Elephas maximus indicus: one gene and its partner. The protein of the gene in region 1 purifies or fractionates together with the protein of each later gene. This does not show direct contact. Links are inferred from orthologs where the notes say so. Each region holds a gene or a part of one and is shown on either strand. Other genes may lie near its edges.

What was found. Proteins that work in one complex are often made in the same cells at the same time.
Region 2: the proteins of TOP1 (region 1) and cyclin-dependent kinase inhibitor 2A-like purify together in Homo sapiens (affinity purification with western blotting; 3 studies listed by BioGRID). This does not show direct contact. The link is inferred for Elephas maximus indicus from reciprocal best matches to the Homo sapiens genes TOP1 and CDKN2A.

Annotation. Positions count from the first base shown.
Region 1 is NC_064843.1:28,408,177-28,418,265, forward strand, and holds the start of TOP1 (DNA topoisomerase 1), read right to left. Parts: upstream 5,625-10,089; 5' UTR 5,350-5,624; coding exon 5,317-5,349; intron 4,991-5,316; coding exon 4,966-4,990; intron 1-4,965. UniProt on the Homo sapiens protein: Releases the supercoiling and torsional tension of DNA introduced during the DNA replication and transcription by transiently cleaving and rejoining one strand of the DNA duplex.
Region 2 is NC_064827.1:31,842,221-31,852,309, reverse strand, and holds the start of cyclin-dependent kinase inhibitor 2A-like, read left to right. Parts: upstream 1-5,273; 5' UTR 5,274-5,298; coding exon 5,299-5,424; intron 5,425-9,278; coding exon 9,279-9,585; intron 9,586-10,089. UniProt on the Homo sapiens protein: Acts as a negative regulator of the proliferation of normal cells by interacting strongly with CDK4 and CDK6. This inhibits their ability to interact with cyclins D and to phosphorylate the retinoblastoma protein.

The DNA of each region.
Region 1 (10,089 bases):
ACTCAGACCAAGCGGGGGAGGAGAAAGGGCCAGCAAAATGCTAATTTTTCCATGCCAACAGCCTCTATTTTAGATTTCCTACTACAGTTACTGGCTTGGAGCCATGAGGACGGAAAACTGCTTCTCTAACTGCAAATTTACAAGGCAAGGAAACAGGGAGAAAACACTTGTTCCAAATATTACTACTTCAAGTTTAAATACAATCTGAAAGCTTTCTTTTAACACAATACCCCACTTCTTCAGGGGCAAGCCTGGAACTTGGCCCATCCTAAACCTTTCACCTTAAGAAATCAAATTCCGTTTGCCCAAATGCCCTTATTATGCAAAACTAATGGTTTCAAAATAATAAAGGGACAGTCAAATAATCTAAATCACAGGACACAGAAAATTCACTAAAGTGACTCTTGTCTACCTCCAAATGCAACAAATTGACTATACTTTACTGTTCCTTATTTCTTTCAGGGCCCCCCCCCACCCCGCCAAATACTCCTTTGAAGCATTCCTATAGCCACATTCAAAAGAAAATAATTACATGTAAATTCATTTATCAAAGGGAATTTGAACTTTACTGACTGTACGTATGGCAAAAGTTATTAAACATCTGTAAAATACATACGCACTCACACGTCAGTATCATCTGAAGGCTCCAAAAATTAAAAACACCCAGAAAGTACAAAATAATTTCGCATCCTATTAGCGGCAGCAGAGAACCATTATTGTAAGTGATATGTAACATGTATAAAGTTTTTCTAACACATTTACAGGCTCAAAAGTCAGACATTTTTATGCATCACCCTCCCCTCCCACCCCATTGAAAACAAACAAAAACTGTCAGTTAATACCACAGCCCAATTTTGGAATATAAGCTTTAAAATGTTAGTTAAAATAAACCCTGGCACTCATATAGACGGGTACTAATTTACTATGCCCCAGGGCAAATTAATGAATCTCTCTTTCAAATACAATTCCCCATTTTTACGCTGACAGTGAGGAAAAAAAGTCAGACTCAACCTCCCCTCCTCCCCGCTACTATTGGTTAAAATGAGATTAGGGTACTGACCCTGGGTTCCTATTTTCCATTTTACCTTACCCACTGACCAAAGAAAATTAGGAGTTGGTGACAGTAATATCTAGTTTTCACCTTTCAGACCACGAGGTACTTCTGATTCCTTTGGAGTAACTCCTGGACTTGGTTTTACCAGAAGATCTTAGTCTAAAATTTGTTTGTGAGATCTGAGAGAACTTTGAGATCTGCTAGTCATCTAAAAAGCACGTATTGACAGGTAATCGTGTTTCACTGCAAAGTATAATATATTCTACAGCAGCTCACTAATCCTGAAAAGGTGCCCCAAGGAATCTGGCTGCAGTGGAAGGAAAAGACAACAGTGAAGCCGAACGCTTAAATGTTTCTGGACTGGGTCTGAAGATGTGCCACATTTCTTCGGGAGGTGCCATCGCTCTTCAGTTTTAAAAATATGATAGGAATTTTCAAATCACATCATCAGCCTTCCCACCCTCAACCTGTGCCCAACAGCACAAAAGTACAACTACCTGTTAGCATCAGAAACAATTCATACTTAGTCCACTCATCGAATTTAAATCCATCAAGCTAACTAGAACCAACACAAGATGTCAAACCATGAACCAGTAACACTTCCTGGAATAATCACTGAGGAAGTGAAGGATTCACTCATACCAGTGAATCAACATATTACTGATGAGCAGTGCTGGGGGGCAGGGAGCTCCCCAACTTCAAGTCCTGGAAACAACAAAAGGATCACTAACACCCAGCCTGATGTTACCACTACCAACTCTACAGATACACCAAGCAGCCTATACTTATTGTAATCGTGCCTTTAGACCCACTACAGTTAGTGCTACCAACACTTACAAAGGAAGTCTTTTCATCTAGGTAAGAGAGAAGTTACAGCTCTGCTCCTGAAATTCCCAGCTCACTCTCAGTATTACAAATATATTTCACAAAAAGCAGATTTTCCCAGCAGTTGAGTATGGGCCAGAATGTTCTAAATTCCATATTAACTGCAACTAACTACATACTATTGTAAAGTATAGGCTCCAAAGGAAAAACAAGTCTCTTAGACTTAAGGGGCTGAGGGCAGGCAAGATAAAGGATGTTTGATTTTAATACATGAACTTGCACATTTAACCTGTAATACGGGCTACGCCCACTCAAAATCATGCTTAAGCAAACTCCTCTTAATACAAAAATCAATAATGACATGTCTGAACACAATTAAACATTGATTTTTTTTTTAGAAACTGTCTTATCATAGTTAAATAAATCAATCACTAGTTACCAGTATACAACTTGATAGAGCATGCACACAGTTACTAACACATCTTTCTTCTAGATAATATTCAAAAAGATAATTACTCCAGGAATAACATTCTTCTGAGGAGAAAGTAAAGACAGTGAAAGTGTTTCTTCTCTTGAAGGAACACATTTAGCTAAAAAATAAGCAAATGACAAAGTACCAAATCCTTCCCTTTTTTTCTTTTAGACCCCTTTAAGTAAAGATGTGCAGCTTTTAATTTCTTCATACTAGAACCAGTTCTACAGTACAGTGGCTAAACTCACGGGCTTTGGAGTTCACAACTTGCTGCCCTTGGGCAAGCTAGTAAACATACCTAAGCCTCACCTTCCTCATCTATAATATGTAGGTAAATAGTACCTAACTCATAAAGATTCTTCCAAGGATTAAACCAGATAATGCATGGAAAGAGCTGAGAATTGTATCTGACAGATAGTAACTGTTCAATAAATATTAGCTATTACTGCTATTACATGTGTACATATGCTTTCCGAAAGTCTACATGGCCAGTTCATTCCATTCTCTATAAAAACGGCAGTAAGGATCAAAAACCTTTCCAGCCCACTAATGCTCTACATATTCAATAGTTCCTTCGTAGAATTTAGGTTAAGAACTATGGAGGTTCACTTACTCATGAGGATAAAGGGCTGGCTGTTTTTCATTACTAAATACACTACCTACTCAGCCCCGCCTGAAAAGTCACAAGCGTACTTTATTAATTTATTAAAATGCTACCTTTCTCCACGGGAGGTCAAAAGGACTTCCTACATCCTCACCTGCCACATTCTTTCTTTGCTCCCACATCCCAAAGAAACATGCCTTGGGACTGTCTGGACTGCAGGGGCCCTATCTCCTCCCTCTTTTAAAAACCTGACAGGTTGGCTAAACGGGTAGTTAAGAAACACTCCAACCACTGACAATTCTCTCAGGACCTAGTCTCGCACAAGACCCAGCTCAGACATCACCTCCTCCAAAATTTCCCCACCCCCTGACAAAATTAAGTCCCCTATGCTCCCAACACCTTTTGAGTGTAAATATGCCCCAGCACCTACCTTATAATTAACTATTTATGTCTCCTCCAATAGACTGAATTATATGAATTATGTGAAGGCAAGAGTAGTGTTGTGGTGGAAGAAGGTTCAGCTCTAACACTAAGCACAGGGCTTAGCACATATCAGATGCTCAAGAAATGCTACACTTCAACTGGATTCTCTCCTAGTGGAGTGCCATCTCTTGCTGGATGCTCTGCTTCAAATTCTGAACGTAAGACTGCTCTCAGAAGAGCAGGCTGACATGATGGACTGCACTGCTTATTACAACATCAGAAAACCTCTTCATCAGCTTCTCCCATTGGAGAGGTTCCCGGAACCCAAACTCAACTAAGCAGGATTATGTACCATCAGAATCAGTGGGAATTCCCAGCACACTACAAAGGAATACTATCTTCTCCTTCGAAAGGATTGTTGGAATGCCTGCAAGGGTGAGCTTTTTTATTGGAGAATCTACGCTGGGTAACTGAAGAAATACTTGAAAAATAAATGTCTTAATTTGGCTGCAAAGAGTTCAAAAACATGAAAGTCTGGGAAAAGCAAGCTGGCTCTTGGTATCTGGAAACCAGTGGGTTCTGAAAAATGAACAAGAAGCAGGGGTAGGTGCTGGCCACTTTTTCTTCCGATAAATAAAATCTTTTCCTTCCCCACAGTCCAAATGAAAAGGCCCATACACCAGGTCCAGATGAGATGCTCAGTAACCTTTCCTCATAACAAGTACACTAAACTACATTTCTAGGAAAAACTGCCTTAGGAACCTCAGTCACAGTGAAAAGTTCCAGACCCGAATGCTCTAATTTTTTCAAAAAATCAACATGCCAGAGTCCAACATTTACACTGGGTGGCCTAGAGAGAACTTGCAAACTTTTTGAAGGGAGCTACTACTACCTTTACAACAAACAAAATCTTGAAATATGAAGAATTCCACAAAGAGCAGCGTTAGTTTCAGCGCCATAATTCCTATCATAAACATCTTACCGAAAAAAAAAAAAAAATCAACAGTTGCGAAGGGAATCTTTCATTCTGGAAACAGAAAGGGAACAAACAAGCCGCAGAAAGGGAACACCAAAATAAAGTTCTAACTGGAAAAAAATAATAATAATTCCATCTCCCACCCTTCCTTCCCTAGTGGGGTCTGTGATTTATAAGGCTTTGCTCTGCAGAAAGCTCTTTCTGGGCAGCCCAAGGAAGGAGCCGAGGGAGGGAGAGAAAGAGACACAGGCACAGAAAGGAGAGGAGAGAGAAAAAGAAAATGGCGCAGAGACTAAGTCCCGACCGTCGACAAGGCGACTTTCCCGGGAGGAATCCGGGCCCGGAGAAGCTCCCCGACGCCGGGCGACGGGCGATACGGGGTCTCCGTTACCCCCTCTTCGGAGGCCCGCGATCTGGGGGGGCTTGGGTCCCTGGAAAGGGGGTCCAGAGGCGGCCCGATGGGAACAATGGGGCCGGTGAGCTCGGAGCCGGGACTTAGTCTCTGGGACGCCATGTCTGTCCTCTGCCCGGCTCGGGCCGGGCGCGGGGTAGCCGGCCGGCAGCTGGGGGCCCAGGGTCGGGGCAGGGTCGAGGGGCTGGGGCACACTCACCATTCAATCGGAAATCCGCTTCGATCTGGAGAAAGAAAAGGAGGAAATATGAAACGACAGGCAAGTTGATCCCCCCACTCCGGGCGGCGAACGCGCGCGGCCGGGGGCTTAGCCCCCCGTGCCGCCCGGGACGATGGGGCCCCGGGAACGGCCTACGAGGGCAGCCATCCCCCCTGAACTGTAACTTCACGGCTTCCACCCGCGGCCTAGCCAGCCAATCTCCCCCGGCAGGCGGCCCCTCGCCGGGGACTCCGGCCTGTCAAAGCGGCCGAGCCGTGTCGGGGCCTGTGCCGGGGGTCGCGGGAGGGCCAGGCGGCGTCTGGGGGCCGCGAGGCTCGGGCCGGGCCGTACCTGGGAATCGTTGTGGAGATGGTCCCCACTCATGTCGGCCGGAGCGGCGAGCGCGGCAGGCGGCGAGGGGTGCGGAGGAGACGCAGGCGGTCAGGACCGGCTGTGCTGACAGACGGGGGGCTCGCGGAAGCTCCCGGAGGCTCCCAGAGGCGCGGATAAGCAGCGACAGCGGCGGGCCTGAGACTCCCGGAACCGCTGAGGCGGCGACAGCGGCAACGAAGCTGACTGACTGCCGGGCAGGCGGCGAGAGCAGACCCCAGCAGTTGTGTAACAGTCTAAGTTCGCATTTCGGCTCACTGCGCCTGCGCGGCCGCTTTTAAACGGGACGTCCGCGACGTCAGGGACTCGCGGAAAGAGGCCGAGGGTTGTAGGGCCCGCCCCTCGCGATTCGAAAGGCGGACCCGGCTCGGAATCGCAAGCCACGCCTCTAGTCCTCGCGCGGCGCTGTGATTTGCATATGGAGCCGGCTCCTCCCATGGCCGCCCACCCAGCGCTATCTTCCTTTCCTCACCCGGCGCCTTTTCTCGGAACCCCGGATCCCCCCACCCCACCCGTTAGGCAGTGCGCAGGCGCCGCGGGGGCTCCGCCTCCGGACCCGGGCTGGCGCAGCGGCCACGTGGTGGGCCTTTAAAGGCCGCGGCGGGACCCGGCCAGGCCGAGCTGGTAGCCCGCTCCGGCGTTTCTTTGGAGCCTGGGAAGCGCGGAGCTGCGAATCCTTTGGCGGTGCGTGATCCAGAGCTCGCACCGGCGCCAGCTTGCTCGATAACCTAATCCTGAGGCGTCTGGCGGGAGGACCTCCTTAGCCTTTGTCCAAGGTTTCCAACTTGTGGATTATTTCACGCCCACTTTTTTTTTTTTTTATAACTTTTATTAAGCTTCAAGTGAACGTTTACAAATCCAATCAGTCTGTCACATATAAGTTTACATACATCTCACTCCCTACTCCCACTTGCTCTCCCCCTCTTGAGTCAGCCCTTTCAGTCTCTCCTTTCTTGACAATTTTGCCAGCTTCCCTCTCTCTCTATCCTCCCATCCCCCCTCCAGACAAGAGTTGCCAACACAATCTCAAGTGTCCACCTGATATAATTAGCTTACTCTTCATCAGCGTCTCTCTCCCACCCGCTGACCAGTCCCTTTCATGTCTGATGAGTTGTCTTCGGGGATGGTTCCTGTCCTGTGCCAACAGAAGGTCTGGGGAGCATGGCCGCCGGGATTCCCTTTTTATGAGAATTTGGGGTCTGCATCCCACTGATCTCCTGCTCCCTCAGGGGTCCTCTGCTGTGCTCCCTGTCAGGGCAGTCATCGATTGTGGCCGGGCACCAACTAGTTCTTCTGGTCTCAGGATGATGTAGGTCTCTGGTTCATGTGGCCCTTTCTGTCTCTTGGGCTCTTAGTTGTTGTGTGGCCTTGGTGTTCTTCATTTTCCTTTGCTCCAGGTGGGTTGAGACCAATTGATGCATCTTAGATGGCCGCTTGTTAGCATTTAAGACCCCAGACGCCACATTTCAAAGTGGGATGCAGAATGATTTCATAATAGAATTATTTTGCCAATTGACTTAGAAGTCCCCGCAAACCATGTTCCCCAGACCCTTGCGCTTGCTCCGCTGACCTTTGAAGCATTCATTTTATCCCGGAAACTTCTTTGCTTTTGGTCCAGTCCAATTGAGCTGACCTTCCATGTATTGAGTGTTGTCTTTCCCTTCACCTAAAGCAGTTCTTATCTACTGATTAATCAATAAAAAACCCTCTCCCACCCTCCCTCCCTCCCCCCCTCGTAACCACAAAAGTATGTGTTCTTCTCAGGTTTACTATTTCTCAAGATTTTATAATAGTGGTCTTATACAATATTTGTCCTTTTGCCTCTGACTAATTTCGCTCAGCATAATGCCTTCCAGGTTCCTCCATGTTATGAAATGTTTCACAGATTCGTCACTGTTCTTTATCGATGCATAGTATTCCATTGTGTGAATATACCACAATTTATTTACCCATTCATCCGTTGATGGACACCTTGGTTGCTTCCAACTTTTTGCTATTGTAAATCACGCCCACTTTTTAAAAAATTATTTTAATTTGTCGGTCAGCCAAGAGTCTGGTTTAGCCTCAGTTTTCAGCCGAGCACATGTACCCTGAGACACAAGGGGCCTATTTTCATTCCTCCCATCTTACAAATACTGAGCATCTATGAGTCAGGAAACGTGCTAAGGTAGAGGGTGGCGCAAGGGGCCAAAGGGGCAGGACCTGGAGCTAAACAGGTCCTGGCTCTGACCACCGCTGAATCCGCAGTAAGCTGTTAGGATCGTGAGTAGGGTAAAGGACTAATGTCTGTGGAGCATGTACCGCATACCCTGCGCTGAATTCTCAGAATAGCTCCGTGAGGTCGCCTGTTTACAAAAGTCAAACTGTCTCAAAGATAAGTGGCCTCCACAACCACCTACCTGACGTCTGCGCTGGGATACCTCACGAGCTGTTCATCCGTTTCCACTCAGCTGGAAAAGCCCCACCCTAGGCATCTTCCTCTCCCTCGTTCTCATTAGTCCAGAGACTCTTCAGTCCATCTCCTTTTTCCCTCTTGCCTGCACACATGCTGTCCCGGTTTACGTTATCTCTTGCTTGGATTATGACAATATGCTCTTAACAGGGCTCCCAGCCTCCCTTCTGGCTCTGCTCTCTAGCAAACTGTTCTCTAATAGAAGCCAAAGTGAGCTTTTCAGCACACGAATCTAATCATGATTTCCTTCCCACACTTCCCATCTCTATTTTTTTAGTAATTCATTTTATTTTTTTTGTTGAGCATGTACACAGCAGAACATATACTAATTCAACAATTTCTACATGTACAATTCAGTGACATTGATTATATTCTTTGAGTTGTGTAAACATCCTCACCCTCCTTTTCTGAGATGTTCCTCCCCCACTAACATAAACTCACTGTCTCCTAAGTTTCTGATCTAATCTTTTGTGTTACTGTTGTTAATTTGATCCCACATAGATAGATCTTAGAAGAGCACAATGCTCAAGGCAGACATCCTTTACTAGTTAAATTAAACTATATTTTGGTTTTAAGAAGACTTCAGGGGATGTTTTTGGCTTAAGGTTTAAAGATTATTTTAGGGCAGTAGTTTCAAGGTTCAGCCAGCCTCCAAGGCTCCAGAAAGTCTGGAGTCCATGAGAATTTGAGATTCTGTTCTATATTTTCCCCCTTCTGATCAGGATTCTTCTAGAGAATCTTTGATCAAAATGTTCAGTAGTGGTAGCCAGACACCATCTAGCTCTGGTCTCATGGTAAGGGAGGCAGTTCTTCATGGAGGTACTTCCCATCACCCTTAAAGTTCAAAGGTTCTGCTGTTGTTAGGTATCCTCAAGTTTGTTCCAACTTATAGCGACACTTTGCACAACAGAACGAAACACTGCCTGGTTCCGCACCGTCCTTACACTTGTAGTTATGCTTGAGCCCATTGTTGCAGTCACTATGTCAATCCATCTCGTTGAGGGTCTTCCTCTTTTTCACTGATCCTCTATTTTACCAAGCATGACATCTTTTTCCAGGGACTGATCCCTCCTCATAATATGTCCAAAGTACATAAGACATAGTTTTGCCATCCTTGCTTCTAAGAAGCATTCTGGATGCACTTCTTCCAAGACAGACTTTGTCATTCTTTTGGCAGTCCATGGTATATTCGATATTCTTCACCAATACCACGATTCAAAGGCATCAATTCTTCTTTGGTCTTCCTTATTCATCGTCTGGCTTTCGCATGCATATGAGACGATCGAAAACATAGTGGCTTGGGTCAGGCACACCTTATTCCTCAAGGTGACATCTTTGCTTTCCAACACTTTAAAGAGGTCTTTTGCAGCCTATTTGCCCAGTGCAATCCGTCTTTTGATTTCTTGACTGCTGCTTCCATGCGTGTTGATTGTGGATCCAAGTAAAATGAAATCCTTGACAACCTCAGTATTTTCTCCATTTATCATGATGTTGCTTATTTGTCCAGTTGTGAGGATTTTTGTTTTCTTTTTGTTGAGATGTAATCCACAGTGAAGGCTGTGGCCTTTAATCTTCATCAGTAAGTGCTTCAAGTCTTCTTCACTTTCAGCAAGCAAGGTTGTGTCATCTGCATAACACAGGTTGTTAATGAGTCTTTCTCCAATCCTGATGTCCCATTCTTCTTCATATAGTCCAGCTTCTTGGATTCTTTGTTCAGCATACAGACTGAATAGGTATCGTGAAATGATACAGCCCTTACTCACACCTTTCCTGACTTTAAACTATGCAGTATCCCCTTGTTCTGTTCCAGTGGCTACTCTTGATCGATGTACAGATTCCTCATGAGCACAATTAAGTGTTCCAGAATTCCCATTCTCCTCAATGTTATCCATAATTTGTTATGATCCACACAGTTGAATGTCTTTGCATAGTCAATAAAACACAGATAAACATCTTTCTGGTAGTCTCTGCTTTCAGCCAGGATCCATCTGACATCAGCAATGATATCCCTGGTTCCATGTCCTCTTCTAATACAGCTTGAATTTCTGGTCAATCCATCTCGATGAGGGCCTACCTCTTTTTCGCTGACCCTCTGCTTTACCAAGCGTGATGTCCTTTTCCAGGGACTGGTCCCACAAAGGTCATACATGAATGAAGTAGGTTAAAGGCCCTGTGTAACCTGCTTAATTCATGTATGACCTTTGTGGGTTTTGCCATATCCATTACAGTAAATAAGGAAGACCAAAGAAGAATTGATGCATTTGAATTGTGGTGTTGGAGAA
Region 2 (10,089 bases), on another chromosome or scaffold:
AAATAGTTGCCCTTTATTCTTGCGTTCCTCTCAGTGTCTTCCTTTGCCTCGGTCATGTAGTACTTCCTTTGCCTTGGTCATGTAGGAGAGAGAAGCGAGCAGAGAGGAGAGGGACCTCATTACCACCAAGAAAGAAGAGCCGGGAGTGGAGCGTGTCCTTTGGACCCATGGTCCCTGCACTGAGAACCTTCTAGACCCAGGGGAAGATTGATGCCAAGACACATGGGGATTTCCAAGGAACGCCATGCCCACAGATGTTGAAAGGACACAAAGACCTTCCCCCAGAACCAACAGAGAGAGAAAGCCTTCCCCTAGAGCTGGTGCCCTGAATTCCAACTTCTAGCCTCCTAAAGTGTGAGAGAATAAATTTCTCTTTGTTAAAGCCATCCACTTGTGGTATTTCTGTTATAGCAGCACCAGATAACTAAGACAAACACACTCTTGTCCAAAGATCCTCCCCTCTTTGTATCCACAACATTAACTCAAGTGCCTGGCCTACACTAGGTACTCAGTTATTCTTTGTCAAATAAAGTTATGAATGGTAACTCTTAGAAAAATACCTTTTATTTGTTTATTGTTACTATGTTTATTTAACTAATAATAATGGTTAATATAGGCACATAGTAAAAAAATCCAAGCAATACAAATTGCTTGACAAAAAATTATATCTTTCCAGAAATAATCTATGTATATTTTACTTCTAACCTCAAACTATATTTTGAACGACAATACTAATTGAATATTGGTAAAGAGATGTATGCCTTTAAAACAGCTTTTGTGTGTATTATCTCACTTGATGTAATAAATTCCATGAACTATAAAGGATAGAGCAGGATAAAGCTTATTTGAAGATATGGACATTGAAGCTAAAAATAGTCTCAAAGGGTTTCAAAGTAAAAAAAAAAAAAAAAACACTTCGTTAGATACACCAATCCAGAGCTATTTCTCCAACACCTTCTATTTTCCTAAAAAAAAAATCTTGCTTATCATAGAATCACCTGACCAATCCGTCAAAGTCTCCTCAGAACCAGAACTTAGTTTCAGAACATACCTCCTCAAATATCCTTCTGATTCTTGTGGTGTGTTGAATTAATGTTCACATCCCATATTACAATTCCTTGGTAATAGAGTTCTGGAGTAGCACCATTGCAAGGCTTTCTTTGGTTCTAATGAAGTAGTGTCTATGACACTAGTGCTATAGTGTCATGGTCTCTACACTCAGCTCTGTCCTTCGGGCCAGTGAAAAGGCTCTGTCTGAGTCCTACTCAGGCACACTGTCATTTCCTCTTAAGGTATTCCAAACCTTCATGACTCTCAAATTTCTTAACCCACCATCTTGTCCTCACTCTTTCCAAACAAGCCAGCCTCCTCATTAATGGAAGGAATTACCTCAACTTCCTTCCTGCCTTGACCCTTTTTCCCTCTTCAGATCTGTCTTTATCCAAATTTATGACGTCCCTGTGCATTGGATTCCATTTCTTATACCTTTCAGGACCTCAGGTCCTATTTCTCTTTTGTCTCTTCTAACTGTTCTTTCACTTCACCTGGCATGTTCCTTCATTGTATGTGTGTCCTCAGGTCTCTTCCACCTTCCATCTGCTTCCCTTCACCGTATATCACCTTGAGCTTTGACGGCCAAACTATGAAAGAATAGTCTACACCAGGTGTCCCCACTTCCTTGCTGTCACATTCACTCCTGGATTTCCTTCTGACTCTGAGTAGCCCTTGTCAGCTTCTTTTGCAGAAGCTTCTTTTTCCAGCTTCTCACTGTATATTCCAGTGAATTACGTCCAGTTTTCCTAAACTTCTATGCCTTTGCATCTGTTCTTGCCTCTGCCAGGAACATCTTTCTCCATCTTTCCTTTCCATCTTTACACTCCCATGCTTTTCTTCAAGTTGGGGTTAGCTCTCATACTGTCCAGGAAGCCTTTCACCTAAGCCACCAGGATGAATTTGGCTCCCTTTTCATTTTCTTGTGTCACCCTCTGCTTCCCTTTGCTCTTGTAAGTGCTTTACATATTATGTCCCATTTAATTCACACAACCACCATTTGAGGCAAGCATGATTATCATCCCCATTTTAGAGATGAGGATACTGAGCACCAAAGACATTAAATAATTTGTTCAGTTAGAAAACTAATAGGTGGAAATATCTAGGTTTAAATCTAGGCAATTTGACTGTAGGGTTGAATTTAACCACCTATGCTCTACTGTTAGCCTCTGAGCTTGTTGGATGAATAAATAAGTAGTAATTTATGTTCTATTTTTTTCTTAAAAGACTGATCAGATTTGAGACAGGTTTAAATTTCATAATATAGATTTTCAAGACTGCCAAGACAGCAGAAATGGAGACCATGGCATTCTCAGGGAAGAGGAGAGGTAAGTGTAAGGTTAATAATAATAACAAACTTTAGAACTTAGAAAGCTCTTTGACATCTATCATCTTGTTCCATGCACCCAAGAAATATATCATGATCCCATTTTACAGATAAGAAATCTGAGGCTGGCAGAACCAGCACCAAGATCCCTGGCTTTATAGTTTATTTCTTCTGGAGTTTTACCCCTCAGGTCTGAACTGATATGAGTAAGTAAACTGGGAGTATGGAAGGTTTTTTAAGGAAAAAAAAAACTGGAAGAGCTTTCACAGTATTATTATTTATTTACACAGATTTATGATAGATACAGGACCAATTTCCAGAAAAGGGCCACACCCAAGAATGCCACAGTCTTTCAGGAGCTCCGATGCAAGTGCCTGAGCTAGTGAACACACATCTAAAACCTGCTGTTGGTATTTCCAAAGCATCAACCTCTATGTCTGTATATAATTCATCCAAGAAATATTTTTGTGTTTCCATCTCATGCTTCCTTCTCCAATACATTGCCTTCTCACAAGAGCTAAAGGGATTCTTGACGTGGCAGTCCATAGTTGAGTTTTAGATGAATACCTGAATTCCCTGAAAGTTTTATTCAGAAATATACTTGCCAGTGAACACACTTGGTTTGAGGTTGGTTGGTTTTCATTGCATACTTTATTTATTTTTTTGAGGATAATGTCTGTAGCTTTCAAGAGATTCTCAAACGGAAGATTAAGAACCATTATATTAGTGATGGAAGCAAATTTTGATATTGGTCTAAAAGCCAGGCATAATTACAAGGGAAATCTGTTCCATCTCTCCCATCACAGCCATATTGCCCCCCTCCCATCATAAAATGTAAAAGGAGCCCTGGTGGCACAGTGCTTAATCACTCAGCTGCTAACCAAAGATGTGGCAGTCTGCTTTGGTAAAGATTCACAGCCTTGGGAATTCTGGCAGTTCTCATAGTCACTATAAGTCAGAATCCACTTGACCGCAACAGGTTTTACCATAAAAAGTCTTAAGCTAACTTAAAAAGAATATTAGATTCCTTATCCATAGTTTGAATTGTTCAAACCATTGCTGCCCAGTATTTGAGAGGTGCCTGGAGGAAAATATAGAAGGCACAGTAGTAATACGTTATGGATTCTTATAAGAGATTTGACAATAAATGTTTAATTGGCATAATTTAAAAACTACATTTTGCCTGACCTAGCAACAACTGAAGGTACAGCAAGGTATTCTGGGGCTTAAGATAAGTCAGCTAAGGATTAAAACGTTAACTTTTAGACAGAGCCGGGTTACCTAGTAGTCAGACTCAGTATGTGCTCAAGGCACCAGCAGGTAACCCATACAATTTTTAAATGTAATATATATATTTTTAAGAGCATAAAAGTAATAATCACGGGAAAAATTAGAACTCTGTTGGATTTCCTTTCGCTTACTAAATTCCTTAGATGCACCATCATGTTTTCTGTGATTAAGGTCTTCTTGGTCTTCCTTCTCTTTTATATAATATTGATAATTCTATCCAAAATATTTTCTTCTCTCTGCCTCAGGAGATTGCAAGCAAATCCTCCAAATGGATAATTTGATAGCTAGCAGGTATTGTGTGCTTGGGATGTGTATCACTGTTCCAAATGCTATATGTAAATCAGGACATTAAAAATTCACAACAGCCCTGTGAAGTAAGTACTACTCTAAGTTCCCCTTTTTATAGCTAAGAAAAGGGCAAGGTATTTCTAGGAGGAAGGAGAGGTGTGGGACGCTGGAAGCAGACCCAGGAGGGGCCCCAGTACAGTGTATCTGAGCCTGTACCGTGATGCACTGTGTCAGTCTCTAGACAGCTGAGCACTTTCTCTGGTCTAGAAGGAACGCCTTATTAAGAATGGGGTCTGTCACCCGAATGACTTCCTCTCCACTTTCCTATCTGCTTATAGGTGGGACTCTTTCCAGTCCGTGTTAAATAGACCCTACCTTCAGAGCCAGCCCTAACTGGCATATCCTGTTCGTATATCTGGCGCTAGTAGGAGGCTTTGCTCACCTCTTGGAAACCCTCGCCCCAGCCACGTGGGTGGGGAGAGGGGAGCAGGCAACCGTTAGACTCTGAAAAAGGAATCTTTGAAGTACGTTTTCTGGAACCATAGGCTCAGAACGCTTAACCCAGGGAGTATCTGGGGAAGAGGGAGGTGTGATTCGGTGATCTAAAAGAAGGGTCGCCTCAGAGTCACAACACCGGGATTACCGATCCTCAGTGAGGCCCTTATTACGAGGAGAGGACAGCTTTGGCCAATTCATCCGAGTACTTACTATAGGGAGGAAGCAATACTTTGCCTATGATATCGAACGCTCAGGTTCGAGCTTGACAGTCAGAAATCCCTGCCCAGCTATCTAAATACTAGGAGAGTGTAGAGAGAAGGGAGGAACCTGGGAGAAATTCCGTTTAGCTTTAGTAGAGGGAACTCGCTTAGAGACTCCTGTGCTCTTCCGTTGGATCGGGGGAGGGGACAGCACCGTGAGGGTGGGGCGACAGGAGGACGGGGGCGGTAGGGGGGCGAGGAGGGGCGCAGGGCTCCCAGCTCCGGCGGCGTCCGCGTGCTCCGGGAGTGGACCGCTTCCGGGCAGGTCTCGCTTCTCGGGGAGCCGAAGGCCGTGCGGCCAGCCGCCGCGTGGGGCGACCTCGGGGCACCTCCGTGGCGTGCTCTAGTGTCCTTGGAGGACACCACGTGATCGGCGCCCCTAGAAGTGGAAAGACGCGGTGGCCCCGCCGGAGGGGTGGGGAGACCGATTCAGGGGGCCGCGGCGCGGGGGCTCGGGCAGCCGGTTTCCGCCCGCCCGGCGGAGGGAAGCGAGGGGCGGGCCAGTCACGAGAGGGCGGGCCGGGCGCTAGGCGGCGGCGGGAGGAAGGGGACGAGGGGACAAGGGAGCGAGGCGCGGGGAGCGGCATGGAGCCCACCGCCGACTCGCTGGCCACGGCGGCCGCCCGAGGCCGGGCCCGGGAGGTGCGGGCGCTGCTGCGGGCGGGGGCGCAGCCTAACGCGCCGAACCGCTACGGGCGCCGCCCGATCCAGGTAGGTAGCAGGTCCCGAGCGGGAGAAGGTGATGGCGGGCTGCTCGGGAGGACGACGGTTGCAGGGGAATGGGAACCGGGTGGCGTTTGGATTCTCGGAAAAGGGGCGATTTCCCGGGACGTTTTCAGAAAAGATTTTGGGGTCGGAGACCTCGTGACGACGCCCCGGGGCCTCGGGAAGCCCCGGAGGGAAGGAGGGGGCACTTGGGGTGCACATCTCTGGAGTGGTGTGACTATAAGAATCTGGCGGGGGGAACATATACATGTGTGTTCATATAAAAAAAAAAAAAAACCAACCCGTATAGACCGAGGTATATTCCAGATACAGAATCTATGAATGAGATAAAACGCGAGATTTTAAAGAAATGTAAGGTTCACTGGGACTATGTAGCCCCAAACTCACAGACCCCTGAATAAAGCTGATCACCTTCTTTCCTGGAGGGACTCCGCTGGAAACCTACTGGCACGTATGTTGGAATAAATGCCGACTGAAATTATTCAGAAACAACTGCATATCGTGTTGATTTTTATTTTAACTGAGTAGGGGGAAAATGTATTCATGTAAAGAACTTAGGACTGAGTAGGGAAACTGCTCGTTGTAAAAAAAATCTTACGACATCCAGGCCTATATAAAAAAAAAAATGTTTTTTAGTGTGATCTTGCCTAAGACAATATTTCCAATTTAGTTACCATCTTAAGAGTATTTGCTATTATTTTTGTCATTTTAACTTACTTGATATGGATTATTTTACTTGGGAGAGAGTTTTCAATTTTTCACTGCTGGAAGGTTCCATTTTTCTCCTCCCCCTCCCTTGTGTGTGAAGGGGGAGGGGGGACCAGGGAAGGTTGCATGTGTTTTTTCTTCACTAACTTCCTAAATATCATGCCAAAAAGTTAATTCTTGCTGGCGGTTACCAGCCTAATTTTATTCCCAGCGGCAACAACGATCTCTGATTCTGAAAAAGAGAATATGTGAAACAAATGCACATTGTAAAAGCTTCATAAGACAAAGGAAAGTAACTGCGTCAGACTTCATGAGTGAATCTTTCCTTCTTGAACCTATCCTACAAAGGATATATATTTTACACACTTTAAAGTACAGTGCAAAAAAAAAGTACAGATATAAGAATAAAATTAAAAATGCCTTAAAACTTGAGATTTTGGGGTCCTGAAATGGCAAGAGATCTTGAAACTAGAGGGGCTGGATAGTTGTAAAAGATAAGTATGAGTCCTTCAAAAAGAATGTTTGATTCGTAATTTAGCATCTCCAAGATTTTGCCAGCAACCTGGAGACTCGGAGTGATGGCCTTAGAGTCCTGGAATACGTTAGGCGAGACCTCATCTGTTTAGATACAGAAAGGAAAAAGAAAGTTGGATAATTACGATTTTTTTATACGGGGATAAGAACATAGAGAAAGGGGCCAAATGAGTTTGATGTAGAACTTCGACCGAATTGTTTTTTAATACAGAATATGTCATTTATAAAAATTCTTTTAAAACAACTAGATTCCAATAAATTGCTTAGCAAATGGATCTTAAGCATCCTACCAATATCGGTTTAATTGATTTGCCTTTTTTGTTTTTGGATTTTTTTTTTTAATATTTAAATGCCCAGTTGCTTTTCAGTTTTTTTCTTATGTTAAAATATAAGGAAAACATTCAAGACCAGTTTTTTTTTGTAGTCCAATTTATTAGGTTAAATTATTTGTGTAGATTTTTTTTAATAACATTTTATTGTGTTCTAGGTGAAAGCTTACACAGCGAATTAGGTCCTCCTTTAACAATGTTTATACAAATTGTTTCATGATACTGGTTACAATTTTCACAATGTATCAGCATTCACCTTATTTCCATTCTGTTTATTCTGTTTACATTGATCGAACTTCCCTTCCTCTCCTTGCCTTCTCATGTTTGCTTTTCAGTAAATGTTGACTGTTTGGTCTCATATAGTTAATTGTTTAAGGGAGCACATTACTCACAGGTGATATTGTTTATTTCATAAGCCAACCTATTTGACTGAAAGTGACCTGCAGAAATAACTGCATTTCCAACTTCAAAGGGTACCTTAGCCCCTGGGGGAGGGGGGACTCCTCTAGACTCTCCATCCAGTAGGTCCAGCCTTTTTTAAGAATTTGAATTTTGTTCTACATTTTTCCCCTGTTCTATCCAGGACCTTCTATTGTATTCCTGGTCACAATGGTTGGTAGCGTAGCCAGGGACCATTTAGTTCTTCTGGTCTCAGGTCAGAAAAAGCTGTAGTTCATGAGGGCTATTAGTTCTGTGGACTAGTTTCTTCTTTGAGCCTTTGATTCCTTCATTCTCTTTTGCTGCATAGAGGAGAGACCAATCATTTGTTTTTAGATTAAGACCAGTTTTATGACAAATGAATGACTTGATTTGGTTGGGTAAACAAAAACTGTGCTGCAATTTTTTTTTTGTGTGGCTGTAATTTGGTTCACATATATTTTCCCTCGTTCTTTTGAAAACTAAATTGGTTTCCCCACTTTTGGGGCAGAACTCAACACCTATAGTATAATTTATTATTTTTCCTCCCTTTGGGCAAATAAAAATAATTTATTTAATTGATACAAAACATAACTAAGTAATTTCTCTTTATACAGTCAGTATCCCCAAGCAAATATAACCAGATAATGGTTATTCTAAAAAGAATCCTCCACCAGCACCCATAACATGGCATCCCAATTCTAAGGCTGCTAAGGTGCACACCATTTTAAAATTCCCCTTTGGAAATTATTTTGTTTCAAAGATAATTTATGTACCAAAGAGACGAGCAGCTCCTGTAGGAGAGTATATGAGTTTCCCATTGCTGCTGTAACAAATTATCACAAATTTATGAACCAGAGAGAGGGGCAGCTCCTGTAGGAGAGTATGAGTTTCCCATTGCTGCTGTAACAAATTATCACAAACTTAGCAGCTTAAAGCTGCACGAGTTTATTAGCCTGCAGGTCTGGAGATGAGAAGTCTAAAATGGGCTCACAGAACGGTGTTCCTTTTAAATGCTCTAGGGGAGAGTCTGGCTCCTTGCCTTTTCCAGATTCTAGAAGCCCACCTATATTCCTTGGCTTGTAACGCATTCCGCTGTCTTCACAGTTGGCAGTGTAGCATCTGTCTCCTCTCTCATCTCTGCTTCCATCCTTATGTCTTCTGTCAGACTGTGACCCTTTCATAATGACACATCCGTGATGACACTGGGCCCACCTGATAAACCGGGATAATCTCCCCATCTCAAAATCTTTTACTTAATTATATCTGCCAAATTCTTTTTGACATGTAAAGTAATATATTCACAAATTTGGGAATTTGGACACAGACATTTGAGGGGGAAGCATTATTCAGCCTATCACACGAGACAAGCCCTCTCATTTTATACTTACAGTTTGAGCTCACAGCAAAAAATAAGTTCAAATTAAAAAAAAAAGTGTTGACAATTACCACGTTCTGGAAGTGCAGCGGGGAACCAAACAAAATCTCTCTGGTTTAGATAATTTCATCTCAAAATGAGAAAAAAAGACAGAATGGTTAGGCAGTGGTAAAAGCCAGCTTGGCCCTCACCATTTTGTTGTCTCTGCCTCTGGCGGTGTTCTCCTTGGGGCTGGAGCTCCGCAAAAGGTTGGAGAATATAATGCAGTGAAATGTGTATTGACAGGCAGAATGTGTAGAACTGGAAGAGGGGTGGTAACTGGGAGTAAAGAAAGAGTAACCAACACCTGTAACTTCTCCGCGCCTCTGCTTTGGGTGGCTATGATCTCGGGGCTTCGGGGCGTCGTAAATAAGTGTTTCTTTACATTAATCCTGCCCCCGCCGGTCGCCTTGACCGCTCTGCTCTCCCGGCAGGTCATGATGATGGGCAGCGCCCGTGTGGCGGAGCTGCTGCTGCTCCACGGCGCGGAGCCCAACTGCGCGGACCCCGCCACCCTCACCCGACCGGTGCACGACGCCGCGCGGGAGGGCTTCCTGGACACGCTGATGGTGCTGCATCGCGCCGGGGCGCGGCTGGACGTGCGCGACGCCTGGGGCCGCCTGCCCGTGGACCTGGCTGAGGAGCGGGGTCACCGCGACGTCTCCCTGTACCTGCGTGCGGCCGCGGGGGACACCGAAGGCGGCGACCGCGCCCATGGAGACGCCGCAGAGGGCTCAGCAGGTGAGGGCGGATGCCCAGGATCTAAAAATTCGAACCCTCAGAACTTCTGGAGCCCAGCGCGCTTTTCCAGAAGACAAAGTTTGGCCGGGAGGGGCAGGGTCTCGGGTCTCACCTCAGCTCACACACACAGCCAATCTGTGGCACAACCCGGGTTTCCCGGTCACGCCGCCAGGTCAGCGCTGCAGACGGGAAATAGCCATAGGTGGACGTCCGTACTTGAAAACCTTTCTCATGCCTCTCCCCACTCGCACACACATAGACACAACACCACCGCCCAAGCACACACCGCCCTCACCGCAGCTCAAGGCCTAGTCTGTGGAACGTTGACGAGCCAGGAGGCTACAGAGCTAGTGCCCCTCTCCCTCTAAACTAGCTGGTCAGTCTCATCCACTCACCGGGCCTCAGTTATCCCATCCGCATACCTAGGTGGCTGGACCAGTCCCAGGGTTCCCAAACCTATAGCGCGTGGCATCGTCTGCGGGAGATATGTCATGAGCCGGATTC